Linked DNA regions of Neodiprion lecontei. The protein of the gene in region 1 purifies or fractionates together with the protein of each later gene. This does not show direct contact. Links are inferred from orthologs where the notes say so. Each region holds a gene or a part of one and is shown in the gene's direction. Other genes may lie near its edges.

Evidence for each region.
Region 2: the proteins of sorting nexin-4 (region 1) and sorting nexin-30 purify together in Homo sapiens (co-immunoprecipitation; 4 studies listed by BioGRID and IntAct, counting the BioPlex papers as one, with this or other methods). This does not show direct contact. The link is inferred for Neodiprion lecontei from reciprocal best matches to the Homo sapiens genes SNX4 and SNX30.

The regions. Positions count from the first base shown.
Region 1 is NC_060260.1:2,605,541-2,613,022, reverse strand, and holds sorting nexin-4, read left to right. Parts: upstream 1-2,497; 5' UTR 2,498-2,668; coding exon 2,669-2,779; intron 2,780-3,311; coding exon 3,312-3,418; intron 3,419-3,503; coding exon 3,504-3,720; intron 3,721-3,802; coding exon 3,803-3,908; intron 3,909-4,052; coding exon 4,053-4,162; intron 4,163-4,244; coding exon 4,245-4,382; intron 4,383-4,452; coding exon 4,453-4,663; intron 4,664-4,736; coding exon 4,737-4,869; intron 4,870-4,960; coding exon 4,961-5,075; intron 5,076-5,166; coding exon 5,167-5,217; 3' UTR 5,218-5,650; downstream 5,651-7,482. Other genes in the region: splicing factor 1, read left to right, coding at 1-247, 334-889. UniProt on the Homo sapiens protein: Involved in the regulation of endocytosis and in several stages of intracellular trafficking. Plays a role in recycling endocytosed transferrin receptor and prevent its degradation.
Region 2 is NC_060263.1:34,516,151-34,523,374, forward strand, and holds sorting nexin-30, read left to right. Parts: upstream 1-3,020; 5' UTR 3,021-3,194; coding exon 3,195-3,359; intron 3,360-3,635; coding exon 3,636-3,791; intron 3,792-4,167; coding exon 4,168-4,278; intron 4,279-4,363; coding exon 4,364-4,528; intron 4,529-4,610; coding exon 4,611-4,806; intron 4,807-4,925; coding exon 4,926-5,200; intron 5,201-5,282; coding exon 5,283-5,639; 3' UTR 5,640-6,009; downstream 6,010-7,224. Other genes in the region: DNA-binding protein RFX2, read right to left, coding at 1,890-1,899; uncharacterized protein LOC107218731, read right to left, coding at 6,806-6,860, 6,969-7,047. UniProt on the Homo sapiens protein: Involved in the regulation of endocytosis and in several stages of intracellular trafficking. Together with SNX4, involved in autophagosome assembly.

The DNA.
Region 1 (7,482 bases):
CCAATAACATCGTATGCTCGAGTTGCGGAGGCGCGGGACATATAGCGCGAGATTGTCGATCAAAACGACCTGGTCAAGGTGGTCCAGCAGCTGCTGGAATGACTGGAATCACCCCAGGTGGCGATAAAGCAAAGATTGACGAGGAATACATGTCACTAATGGCTGAGCTCGGCGAGGGTCCACCCCCAGATCGATCCAAGGGACATCAACGCTCCCAAAACACAAATTATCCGGGTCTATTCGATAGGTAAGTCGTCGACTCCCTGACTTGACCAGAATTATGTTACTGATATTCTTCACAATATTAGCTATAAAAATTGATACTTCTTTCAGACAACAAGCGCCTCGTGCTTTGATGGCAGCTCCGGCACATCCACCGCCGCAGATGATGCAAGGCGGTCCAATGATGCCTCCACCAGGCATGGCGCCGCCTCCCTGGACCCAGAACGATGTGAACAGCATGAATGGTATGAATATGCAGTGGCAACCTCCGGTCAGCATGCCTCCGCCTCCAGGTGTGATGCAGCCGCCACCTCCGCCCCCCGGCTCAACCACGCAACCCAATATTCCACCGTTGATGCCGTGGATGACTGCAAACAACCAGCCTCCACCGCCCGGCCAAATGCCACCAAGCCAAATGCCCCCGGGAATGGGAGGAATGCCACCGTGGCAACAAGGGCAACAAAGTCCGATGCGTCCTCCGCCTCCTGGAACAGCTCCACCTCCTGGATATCCGGGATGGCAGCAGCAAACCCTGAGCGGATGGCCGCCAGCAGCCCCTGTACCTCCGCCACCTCAGCAACCGGCACCTGCACCGCCGGGTATCGATTTGAACAGCTTACCGACATTGTTGGCGCAACCGCCGCCGCCACCTCCGCCAACCAGTTAGTGCAAAACTGAGTCGAACCACGAAATTTAATTTTGAATTACCACTTAGGTGTAACAGCCAAAAGGGTAAGTTAAGTTTGCTACTTCGTTAAGTGTGAGAAATTAAGGTTTCGATAACGTCGGTTGGGTGTCCATGCCGATCGAGATGTGGCTGAGATTCGTCTTTTCTTCGTTTTCTTACGTTGTTTCACGTGGGTGATCTTACTTTTGAAACACGTATTTTCAGAATGTGTATCACAATTTACGAGATATCATGGAGTAGACACTAAATAACACAAATCAGCCGATGAAATTTATCATTTTTATTGTGTGAAAAACGTTATCTTGTTTTTTCCAGTAGTAAGCGTCCCTTAAAATTTAATTATTCAATGTTAGTTATTTAGATTTGTTAGGTACAATCTGATTAATTGACAAATGTTTTTTTTCATCACTTTGAACGATCATCCGTCTGTGTACAACAGAACCACTTGAAAATTGATTCGAACCTCACCTGATAGGAACGATGTTTTGTAACATTATTTCTCCTGAATAGATCCAAAGACAAACAGTCAAGCATGTGAGTGTTTTTATATACTGTACGTCAACATCTGTTGGCTGTTTAGAAAAAATTTTGCACGGGGTTTTTGTCTACAATGTGAAAAGCCTCGAATGACGTTCGAAAATTTGGAACAATTTTCTATATTATAAATATAATTTTTGTTTGTGGATTTCACAACAGCAATAGTATAAATTATCATATACTTAAACAGTATATATAAGTATATACATACAAAGCACGATACAGAATCAAAAAATGATGCAAGAAAAAGAAACAAGAAATTTAACAAAAGATTAATTTACTAAGTAAAACATAATCACTTCTTTAATTAGCGCATGCGTATATAATAGTTAATAAGTAACTATATTCATCAACCTGCGCAGATTTCTAATTATTTTATTCACTATAAATCTTCCTAATTTAACAAAACTTTTACGTGGAATGAAATGTCATTTGGGTTATTTTCAGTGTATTGTACTGCATATGTCAAATATTACTGAAAAATAAAATTATCAATAATAAAGGTATAATTCTGACGAATGGGACCAGCATAGTCGCATAATTAAACCAGTCGTATGGAATTTGGGCGTACTACTTGTCCATCCTATGTATTGCCATAGAGAAGACTGCGCGCTTTGCGCACAGTGTTGAAGCTGTGACAAAACAAAGAACGACAGCTGCAGGCATTTTCTCTCACTCTAATCGGTGACTTGGCAGGGGCAACACATAGGACTTATACACGTAGCCTCCCCACCTTGCGACTGCTCCCCACTCTTGCGCACCCTGCGCAAGGGTTCTTGGGTAATTTGAAATTCTTAATTATATCATGCTGAAAACATTGGTTTTGAATCTTGATACATTCTACTAATCATCGACACGTATGATGTTTTTGAATGAGTATTTCTCTTCCATATGATGTATTGGCTTTCTGGGACGTATTGGACGACCCGAGCGACTAAACTGATAACGAATGGACAAACTGTAGCGACTTGGCCCAAATTCATCACGCCGACTTTCGGCGCACGCGCGTTTGTTTCACCGCTCGGTTCAGACGGGTAGAAACCTCCGATGCGACGCTTTGCATCGACGTCAGTTCAGCAGCTTTAGCAATTAGCTAGCCAAAGATGAAATAAATAGGTCGTGATGTGATCAGGTGACTTTGGCGTAGTGCGAAGAGTTGATGGACAGACAATCGCGAATTAATATTAACTCGAAGTCGATATCCGTCTGCACGGAGGAACGATGGAGGAAATATTTCAAAACGGGAATTACGACGATAGACTAGGAAATAACATCTCAACAATAACAACAACAGCCAACATGACTACATCAGAGGAAATAATACGGAAAGAGGTAAATACGCATCGATGATTTTTAGTATAATATCACGGGGTGAAAGAAGATTGAGAGACGCGTCCTAGGTACAGTGTCTACTTGTAATTTCTAAACATTATTCCTACATATGATTACAGTTCGATCTGATCTACATATTTAAGAGAGGGAGAATCAAAAATAGGTAACGCGATAATTCTAACGGCAGAAGATAATTCAAATACTCTAGTCGCACCCTGACATGTGTACAAACAATATTATCATGTATACTTCGCCTGTTGACTTTCTACGATAATCAGCAAAGTCCTCCTCCTGTTATGTTGACCCAGTGACCCATCTCTCCAATCAATTTTACTCAACTCTGATTTGAACACGAGTTTTGCAATAAAGTAAATAAAATATTTTCAGTAAATAACGTGGGAGTAACTGAAAAATTTCAATATCAAAGAGTTTTAACATTCTTCCTTTAGATCCCGATTCAATAACAATTGCTAAAAAACTTTATGAGCATTAGATCATCGATAAATAATATTACTCTAATTCGCCATTTCAGGATTGTCTTCTTGATCATATGGAAATCGTGATAGTGGAGGCAGAAAAGCGTGCCAACGGAGCTTTAAATCTCAGAGAATTTTACACGGTTTATTTGGTGGAAACCAAGTGAGTGGGTCTTGTTATTCTAAACAAGTATATTGATTTCAGCCTGAGATTTTACCCCACTAATGATACATCGTGTGTGTTTCAGAGTAACCGATCCAGACTTCAAAGGCGCTCTGACACAACTTAGTTCGTTATGGAGACGCTACACCGAATTTGAATTGTTACGGGCTTACCTGGAGGTATCTTATCCTTACATAGTGTTACCTGCGCTGCCTGAGAAGAAGGTACTTTATGGATGGCAAAAGGTAGCTTCCGATACGTTCGATCCTGACTTTGTCGATCGCCGTAGAGCTGGACTTGAGGTAAGGATGTAGACTGTAGATTATGTTTGCTTAATAAATTATTTAAATATATACTATATTTCCCGCTGCTTATTGCCTACAGAATTTCCTGTTGCGTGTTGCTTCACATCCAGTGTTATCACACGACGAACACTTCATGGGTTTCCTGCAGCAGGAAAACGATTGGCGAGAGAGTATCAAGGAAACTGGTAGGTATAAAGTTGGCTGAAACTTTTGTGCCACTGATAAAGATAGCAGCTGAGTTTTTCAGGTCAATTTTATTCAGGATACATAATTACAGCACGAATTTTTCGAGCCTTGCATAGTGTGATACGGTTCTTTCTTTCTTCTAGGCTATCTGCATCTAGCAGAATCCAAGCTAAAAGCTCTTAGCGTAGCTGTGAGACTGAAAAAACCTGATAAACGATTTGAAACAATAAAAAACTACGGAATTGAATTACAGGTAAGGGGGTACAGAAAGATTCATTGTTTATTCAACCTTTCCGCGATCATGTCCCGAATTTATCCACCATTCATCATTTCAGAGCAATTTATGCAACCTACTTAGAGTTCGAGCACGTCTGGTCGAAAAGCAATATGGACTGTACAAATTACACGCTAATTATGGACGTGTGTTCAGCGAGTGGAGTGCTATAGAGAAAGAAATGGGCGATGGTCTGCAGGTACTTTATTTATCCTCGCTTCTCCTCACTTCATCGGTATTTAATACCTTATCCTGAATGATTTTTACAGAAATCTGGACATTACTTAGACTCGATAGCCGCAAGTATTGACACAGCTCTAGAGGAGGAGGAGCTCATCGCAGACCAATTGAAGGAGTGGTTATTTGGGGCTTCTGCACTACAGGCAGTCGTCAGACGAAGAGAAGCTTTGCAACTGGTTAGCGATGAGACCTACGATTCTCTCACCGCGACTTGTGAGCATAAGGATAAATTGCAGCAAGGTATACGAAAATCTCTAAGAATAAACATCTAATTCTCAACAATTTATTACACGCATTGTTACATCGTTTACAGGTAAAACTGGGCTCATATCCCGTCTGTTCGGGTCTGTGGATACAGAAGAGGTGCGTGAGCTGAAGGTTCACCAGCTGGAGCAGAGAATTAATCAAAGTGAAACAGCTGTGAAACAGGCGAACGAAGACTTGGAGTGAGTTAAGCTCTTTTGACTTTCATTAATATCTTGATGGCTGCAATGTTATCGGTTGGGACGTTGATAACGGTCGACACTTTATTTCCAGATCTTTCTCCATCAAAGCAATGGTGGATATAGAAAGATTCCAGCACCAGAAAGTACTAGATTTGAAGGAGACTCTCGCTGCATATTGTGTTCTACAGTTTAAGTTAGCTAGAAAGGTAATAAAAGCTGTACTTTGGTTCTGTTGTTTTTGGCATTGCAGTCTTGTTCGAAATAAAATGGAAATAAACTAACATTTGATATTTTCAGGGTCTTCAAACTTGGCAACATATCAAAGATTGCCTTGAGAGTATTCCTTAAGCTATTCAAAGCACATCCTGCAAGTACAATATCTCTTTATCAAGTGCAACATCACAAAACAACCTTAATCGTTCCATGTCACCCGATGTACATCTACATTCCTGCATTTATAAGCTCTCCAGACGTTTGATGTTCTAAGGTTATTTAAATATTCTTATTTAATAGATATTAGTTTGTGCATAATACATACTGAGCACAGCGTATACGCGTTGTGTATAAATACCTGAAAGACGAGCAGCACCGTTTAGTATTTATATGTACCTACATCTATATATTTAAAACAAAAAACATATATATATTTATGAATATAGATATATACGTGTATATATATATTCCATTGTTCGGCAAAGTTTAAGTAAAAGCGTCTGCGTAATTTGACGCAAAATTTGCTTTAAAAATTTAATAAACTTCGCATATGTACGTACAACGTTCCTACGCTTAAATCAAATTATTCAACGAGTTTTCGTTCCTTCATAAAATACTGAACCACAGTATAACTTTTTGTTAACGATCAATCATGCTAAACTTCCGGTTATGACGTGTTCGCACGACCCGCGAAAATATTTAAATAACATCTTGCCGGAGATTTGTTACGATTAAAATGGAAGTCATGCGATTTTCCAACAATACTTATCGACTTAAGTATGATCGAGGCAAAAGTTTCGGATGGAGTTTTGCCTGAGATTATTTCGCGCCGCTTTCTACCGCAAGTGTGAAAGTTCAAACGACGTAGGATGAGGTGAAATTTTTGCACAATCATTTTCAAACTTCTACCTAGTCGACCGAGCTTTGATATAAGCTTAATCCGTTGACCTAGAGTATTTCTCTAATCAAGTTTTTTTTTTTTGCTTCACACAAACTCTAAATTCCCAATTTACATTTTATAAACTTTGAAAACAAAATTTATCCTCTCAACACGCAAGAATAATTATTTTAATTCAAAAATTCACCAATAATTTATCCTCAGTCTGTAACGAATATCGGGGAATAGAATTATTCAGATTTTTATTAACAATAGAAAATTTTCTAAACCTTAAATCGTAACAATCGTAACGCGAGGCTTGTTACGCCTCTCACACATTAATTATCCAAAGTCGACGAGGCTGCTGACACGTTCCTGCTTTGATAAAAAATATCACGTGCCCACTGTTTGTGAGCTAGTATATGAAAGTGATGGATCGTTCGTCCTACAAACGTTTCCGCGAGATTTGGTTCAACAATTTCGCAACAAAAAATTACATGTAATTGATCGGTTCGCAAAGCGTGCGTCATTTTTTAGAATAGAATTAATTAATCACGTGAGCAATTTTAGTATCTTCTTTTTCGTTGTGTACCGTGATTGTCGTATTAATTTTGTGACGTGATAATATCTCGCCTTAATCTGGGAAATATATTTTTCACATGGAAAAAAACGTCGGAAAAATCGGAATCGCTGATCCGGCCGAATGATGTGCGTTAATTTTCGCATTGACATATCACAGGAGCGTCGGTAAAGCAGAAAACTTCCGAGACGCAAAATTTCCTAAACGTTTCCCGGCTCGAATAACGAATGGAATGTTGTAATTTCTTTGGCAAGGTATAACAACGAAGTCGTAATATTTGGATGTATGTAATAGCCAAATCTTGGATCAAAAATATAAAAATTGATTGTCCGTGAAATACGAGTAAAAAAAATTCCCATTATCCATCAAGATCGTATTTTTCAGTTTTATTTCTGAGTCACAGCATAGATGCTCGTCATAAAGTTTTTGGCGAAGATTCTTTGTAAACAATAAATAATTGCAGTTAGTTGTCAATTTGTGTGAAAAAATAATCCGTGGATTGTATAAATCAAACCGAACCGAAATTCTGGAAATGGCGTGAAACGCATCACGTGTATGGAAATCATGCGTATCCATGAAAAGCTAATTTGCATATACCTACAATTATATTCCATTTGCTGTCGAGGGTTTCTCGAGACACTTAAAACGTTCAATATCCACGAAAATGATTTATGGCGAAATGTATGAAACCACGTACGAAGTGCCTTTCAATTGCCGTCTGGTTCTACCCTGGAAGCATTTTACGTGTTTATCAATCTTCCGAATATATGCCTTTATACATTTCCCGTACCTACTTCGCGTGTTCAGCTATAAAGGACCGGTATTACGAATGCCATTTGACCAATGGAAGGAAATCCATATTCAGTAACGCTGTGATTAATTTATCGCAGGAAAGCAAAAATTTCAAATTTCGACTAAAATAGAACAATGTTACTGAAAAATA
Region 2 (7,224 bases), on another chromosome or scaffold:
ATTCAGGTAGGTACATAATTTTTTAGAACGTGTAATACAAATGCAGAAAAATCGTTTTACTACACAGATGAAACATATTAATTATGCGATAGATCAAACATCACGTCATATATATATAATTAGACGTGTACCTTTCACTTTTTTGTTTACCAAACAAATGAATAATTAATTTGATTCTGATAATTTCACTTGTAAGATATAACTCATTTCCGTAGGCATTTAGTTTAGGTAGGTACTCCCATATTATTCGTTTCCTTGATATTCGTTTGATTGGAACTTCTGAACCAAAGATCTCTCCATCTTTGGGAAGGTCTTAAAAGTTAGGTATTTTCACAAGAAATTCATGGTGCAAATTTCATTGAAGATTAAAGGTGGCCAACACTATGAAAATTGCGATTTTAGACTGTGTTTGAAAAACAAAAAGAATTTATCAAGTCGCTTAAAAAATCGGTAAAAAATATTTCCTTCCATTTCACGTTATCGCTATGAATTTTTGTATTAATGACTGTTTCGTACGACTGACGCATGGTGGGATATAAATTAGTGTGAAAATGAAATAACTTTTTCACCGGTGGTCAAAAAAATCTGAAATAATTCATTGGCTACTTTTTCGACCCCTCAAATACAATATTAAAGTTCAAGCCAAATCGAAGATGGTGAGGGTTGGCGGCAGGTCTAGTTGGCATGGAATACCCCATATACTCATTCCTCCACCCTTGTTATTACCTAGAAATAAGATTTAGTTGTAAATATTATGTATCCATAAAATTATTCCAAGCTTGATAATAAATGAAAATGCAAACAGCTATATGGTATTATCAAGCATGTATTCGTTTGTAGAATTAAACTATCTATTCTTACTCATTCAAGAATCTCTGAATTATAGTATATTGCATCGAAAGACTTAATAATCTGATATAGTAATATGTATAAGACGGTTTTAATTGAAACCCTGGTGGATTTGATCGGTATTCAATTCTATAGGCCAGAGGGTGGCATGGCGTGCGAAATTGAAAAAACTCAGTGGTGCATGTGATGCTGTAATGTGGCTTATAAATTTGCTAGGGTGCAGGAAAGAACGTATGATACCTGCAGTATGATGGGGTGAAAGTGAACCTAATAGAACTAGGCTAGACAAAAAATCACACTCCAGTGTACTCCTCTATTTCTCTGATCTTATATTGTTGATTTATTATTTTATTAATTATTTATTTACTTATTGTTACTTGTGGATAATTGAGATCAATAGAAATACTGTCATATATTGCTTTCACTCAGGAGTGTGTACAATGTTCCAAGAAATGTTATGAACAGAGCTTTTATTTAATTCATGTATGTGTGAGATCTAAGAATTTCATTTATAAAAATTATACCGCATTGCAGTATTGGAAAAAAATATGAACAATGGTGCAACTCGATTAAATTATGACAAACAGATAAGAGCACCCTTAGCTTCAAAGATTAATGATTTGTGATATTCAAGGTAGAATTTTTTTACCTTGGCTCAATGACTTTGTCATTTTGTTCCATATTTCTCGAAGTTGCACCGATTATTTGTGTAACGAATTTTTGTAAAACTTTCTTAGTTGATTATCAATAGTTTAAAACAACTGAACAACCAAATCTGTATTATTGGAAGGTTTTTAAAATAGGAAAATATAATGACAGGGTAAACTTGCTGGTGAGCATAAACTCTGGTCATTGAAGCTACTTATACAAAGAATTAAGGATAATGGGACCGATTCCGAAAATTGCACCACCTTCACAGAAGACCGATAGAACAAGCGTAAAGTTGTCCGAAAACAGGGTACTTGATCAAAAATACCAGAAATGAAAAAACTGGCATGCAATTATGCAGCCATCTTAACTACACAATCAATCGGTCGCACCTGTTTTCATGAATGACGAATAAACTTGTGTTTGCTAGCCTGCCGGCTTTCCTGACAGGTGTCTTAATGTCGTCCAGGATTCCTCGGTGCTGACCCTGCAAATCACCGTGGAAACGAACTGAAATATGCACGCTAGAATATTGTTGACGACGAGCAGCGGATTGTCAGTTGTCTGCTGCTGCGGTCGCCTTGGCTACGGCATCACACGCCGCTGAACTACCCGTCCGAATCCCCTCGTTTTTCGGTTTAACTCGCACCATGTTGGTTCATTCTACCCAAAAATAATCACATCTAAACTAGGAACGGCGAACTTATTTTCAGCCTTGCACTCCTCCCTACAGCTTCTCGAAAATTACTGAAAATTTATACGGAATCTCTATTGCTAGGGAACTGCTTTCCTACGCTTGGACTAATGTTCCTACGCGCGGCGGACTACACCAACCGCGTAACAGCAGGCAGCAATGGGTTCGACTCCTAATTCTCGGCTTCCGTGACAGGTGTTTCGAGCTCTCGAATTCGTCTTCGGTTTTCTTCCACTTTTATTTTGTTCTTAAATTCAATACAGCTCAATTGTGCAAGCACCGCGGTTGCTCGGCGTATACAGTTGGCCGTTATTGACGATAAATTTTATTCTAGTTAATCACGCTATAATTTCTGACGCGCCTAGCCACATATGGATTCGAAATCAGGAAGATGATTTGCAAGAGAAATTAGTCAATAAAAATACTCACCGTAGGTGATTTGGGAATTTGTCGCAATACAATGAACAGCGGATCGATTTTTGGGATGATAACGAATCGCTGTGACGATACGGCGTCCTTCGTTTGGCGTGACAATGAACCTCGAAGTTCCATACCTATTATTACCTTCACTTTGCCAATTCATTATTATTTAATTAGAATATTGGCAAGATTTAATTATTAGACATGTATCCCAGAGCTACGGTATCTACGAGACGATTATTATTTACTACTTTATTGATTCGCCGTCATCCTCGGATGCAAGAAAAACACGCTTTATGATCGAGAAAAACAAATGCTACCTAAAACAATCGGTACCCGCCAACAATTTGAAACTATTTCTCCGTTGCGGCACTGCTCGACATCCGGTTACATCTTTTTCCGGTTTAAACATAAGATTATAAGATAACAGACATAACAGATACCGGTAGATCTCATACGTCACCTGTCACGATTGTCACTCGATTCCACACAGTTCACTATACTACGTTTACTGCAGGTTGATGTTTGTAACTGTGTGGCGTACTTTGGCGTAGTGTTTCATACTTGTCAATCAAAAATCAAAATGATGACATCTTCGGAAACAGACATTGATGCGCTCGATGAAAAAACTATGGAAGATTCGGCCGTTCTTCAAGTCAGTTCGATGGCTGCAGGAGGTTTGGTGAAACAAGAAAGTCGCGACACAGATTTTCTCTCCAATTACAGTACTTCGATCGAAGGATCTGTGGTTAGTATAACCTACAATATTAACTTATGATCATATGATGCTTATGATTCGTGAAAACTATTAGGCAATTAAAACGTCAACATTGCAAAACAATAATATTCATGCAGTTGAATGATCTCTTCTCGGGTACAAGAATATTTTAAAGAAATTATGAAAATTGGCAAAAGGCGTAGCGAATATTCGGCCGCTAACTAGTAGCCGAGAAAGATATATCCAACTAATTCTTAATGCAACATATGACCATAGCGTAATCAAACTTAATTATTTTTCATTCAGGTAGCATCTCCATCCATCGATAGTTTTTCAACTTTACCAGAACAAGAAATATCAGATTTCCCCATTGACTCTCGGGATCTACAGGTGAAAGTAGATAATCCTCAAAAGCATCTTGAAACCTTGGAGACATTCATCACATTCCGCGTTACAACAAGGGTATGCAGCATATATTGATTACAATATATGGACAAATTATCATTTATAGTGAACAGAGTTTAGATCGCTTTGTTGAGACAAGTATCGGCACGGTATGTAGACACATGTATTTAGACTTGGGAAATGTGATAATTAGAGAGCTTACCTCATTGCATTTAGCACTATAAACGTTTTTACATTAGGGTCACTTTCATCTTGTTTATGAGACATGTAAAACAATGTTCCAAAACTTTTTGAGCGATAAATTTGATTTTAGAATACACACTATGTGTTATTTTACGTATTTGTTAATATTAAAGTTCATTAAAAAAAAAAGTATAGTACTAATCTAAACCTTTACTAGATTTTCAAACATGCATGGCAATTGAATTTTCAGACATCACGTCCTGAATTTGAAGAAACTGAGTATGTCGTGCGCCGTCGTTACAATGATTTCATTTGGTTACGTCAGAAACTTGTCGACACCTACCCAACACACATTATACCTGTAAGTGCTCATTTATAACACTACACACTCATAACGTATATATTAATTAAGCATACGTATTCTAAATGATAGTTCACACTTATAGCCAATGCCGGGTAAACACACGCTGTTGGCACAGCTAGATCGTTACTCAAAGGAATTTATAATGGCTCGAATGAAACTTTTACATGGATTTCTAAACCGTGTAGTGAACCATCCAATTCTAAGCTCTGAAAAAAGTTTATACATTTTTCTGACTGCTAAACCAGCTGTACGTATTGTCAAAAAAATAATTTCAAAGATACTAAACAATTTTACCTATGAAAATTACTGATGTTTATACTTTTCAACAGGAATTCTCTATCCATCGAAAATCCCGCAGTAATGTTCTCGTAAAAATGACTGATTCCCTGCAAAATATGGCTAATATGTACACAATGAAACAGCGGCATCTTGAATTTGAACAGGTGCGAGATTATTGCGTGGCATTGGCTGATAAACTATCAACTATAGACAAAATTAGCCACCGAATTCAGAAAGAAAGACAAGGTAGAGTTCAATTTTTACACATTTAAATCTCAGAAGATACATATTCTGTTTAGAAGCATGTAGAATTAGATAAATTATATCATCTGGCTACTAATATTTCGCTTTTTACTGTTGAACAGAATATCTGTTGGAGTTACATCAGTTACATCCAATATTTACCCTATGGGCGACATCTGAACCAGAGCTAAATCCAATTTTAACTGCAATTGCTAAAGCAATTGAAAATAATGCAGTTGCTCATCAGGTTGTGCTTGACTCATTCCCAAGCGATATGCGAGAATACTTGGCCTACATAGATGCTGTACGGGATACTTTAGTTCGGCGTGATTCAATGCAAATTGAGTACGAAATGACTGTAGATGATTTGGCTAAAAAACGCCAAGAAAAAGATCAGGTGAGCAATTTCAACTTTTTATAAGAATATTGTCATACAACAAATATAATTTGATTTATACAATTTGATAATATTTGTGTAGTTGACAGGTGTTGGAGCTAGTTCCAGTAATTCACCTGGTTGGGGTGGTTCATTATGGAAAGGTGAATCTCGAGATGAAAAGCTAGAAAAAATTGGACAGTCCATTCCTAGGCTTGGAAAAAAAGTGGAACTCCTGCAAGACCGTGTAGAATGTGCTAATGAAAATTTACGTAGTGATCTGGAACGTTGGAATAAAGAAAAGCGTTCGGATTTGAAAACTATGCTCATATCAATGGCGGATCAACAGATTTTGCATTATCAACATTGCATGAATGCCTGGGAAGAGGTGCTGTCAGGTTTAAAACTTGATAACGGAACAGAAATTAATTTGGGCCCTTCTATTAAGGTTCCTGCTTAAATTTCAAATAGCATTCTAGTCTTACTTTAAATGCAAGAAAAAAAAACCGCACTGTTGTATAATTACCATTAATCATAAACTTTAAGATCGAATAATAAAATATTTAAATACCCACGTGTTATCAATGGCCGAAGAATATAACAATACTAAAATGAATATCTTTCTCGACAATAAAAGTGAAATATATGTAATATAAGCTGACATCGTGTAAAAAAAATTAAAATATTACAATCATAATCCTTTCGTACATCCGTGGATAACATCAGTTTCTGATTGTATAGCTGGCTGTTCAATATCTGCTGACATTTTGAATTTGCTCATCATGTTTTGATCCCAATGAAATATTAAAAGTTATTGACTTAGTATTATACTTATTGTATTTATTTTTCTCCCAAGTATTTACTAGCCACTAGTATTTGAAACTACCGGCTGTGATGAAGGCAAATTTTTGCAAACTTTATCATGTAAATATATGTATTTATGTAACAGAGTTTGGTTTACACGTCTTTTTGCCTGTGTTCCGTACTTAAAGTACTCGTTTTACCGACAGTATGAAAAAAGAGCATCGGAGTATGCAAAAATACACTTTTACGTCCTAGCACTTAACAGAGCTCTTTTATGTACGCCGCTATGAAGGAAAAACTAGTAAACTACACTTTTGTTATATAAAGTGTCGACTGCACCATGGAGGCAAAATACATGCACATGCTTGCCTGTCACTCATATTGTAAACTTATGCTCGGTGTTAAGAGACCTATTGTGCCGCCTTGGATATACCATCTACTATTTGTCAAAAAATCACTTAACTAGATATGATAAAATGAATTTGCCTATTGTTAGTTACGCATGAAAATCATGTAAAATCTCTATGTCCAATATTTCTTATATTAGAATGGAATACATATTTTGTTAAGCGGATACATTAAATTTTAGTGTGATATTAATCAAATATCTACGAATTCTGTCATGAAATTGTTTGGATAGATATCTCGTGACAATTTATATCTAAAATTATGCAAACTCGAACAATTATCATTGTCGACTATTCAACTTGTTTAGTAGAATCAATGTCTTAAAATCTAAATAAAATTAATCATCACTTAATACAAGGATATTTAATAGCTTAATTTTAACCTACCTTCATGTGTAATGCAAGACTCTCTTGACTATGTGCTCAAACTTGTGTGCCGAGGCAATAAGTTCCTGAGAATGATGATACATCTAGTAATTCAACAAATAAAAGGAAGAGAATTAATGATAACAGCAGTTACATTATTCAATAATTTATATTCCGTAAGATGTCTGTTCTGGGCATAAATACGTTATTACATCGTTGGAGAGTCAGGTAAGGGTGTAATAAATAATTCTACAAGGTTGTCGAAATCATGAAGCCTCGTAATGGATTCCCCTGAAAATTAAATAATACTTCAATAACTTACTATTAGTATCAAACCAAACAAGTAATAGAAATTTGGAAAAATATTCTATTCAGTCTGCGGCTATTATCTATGAACAAATCGTAAATATATCATACATTATGTTGATGCATGTACGTACAAGAGTAATAAATTAAAATTATTATGTA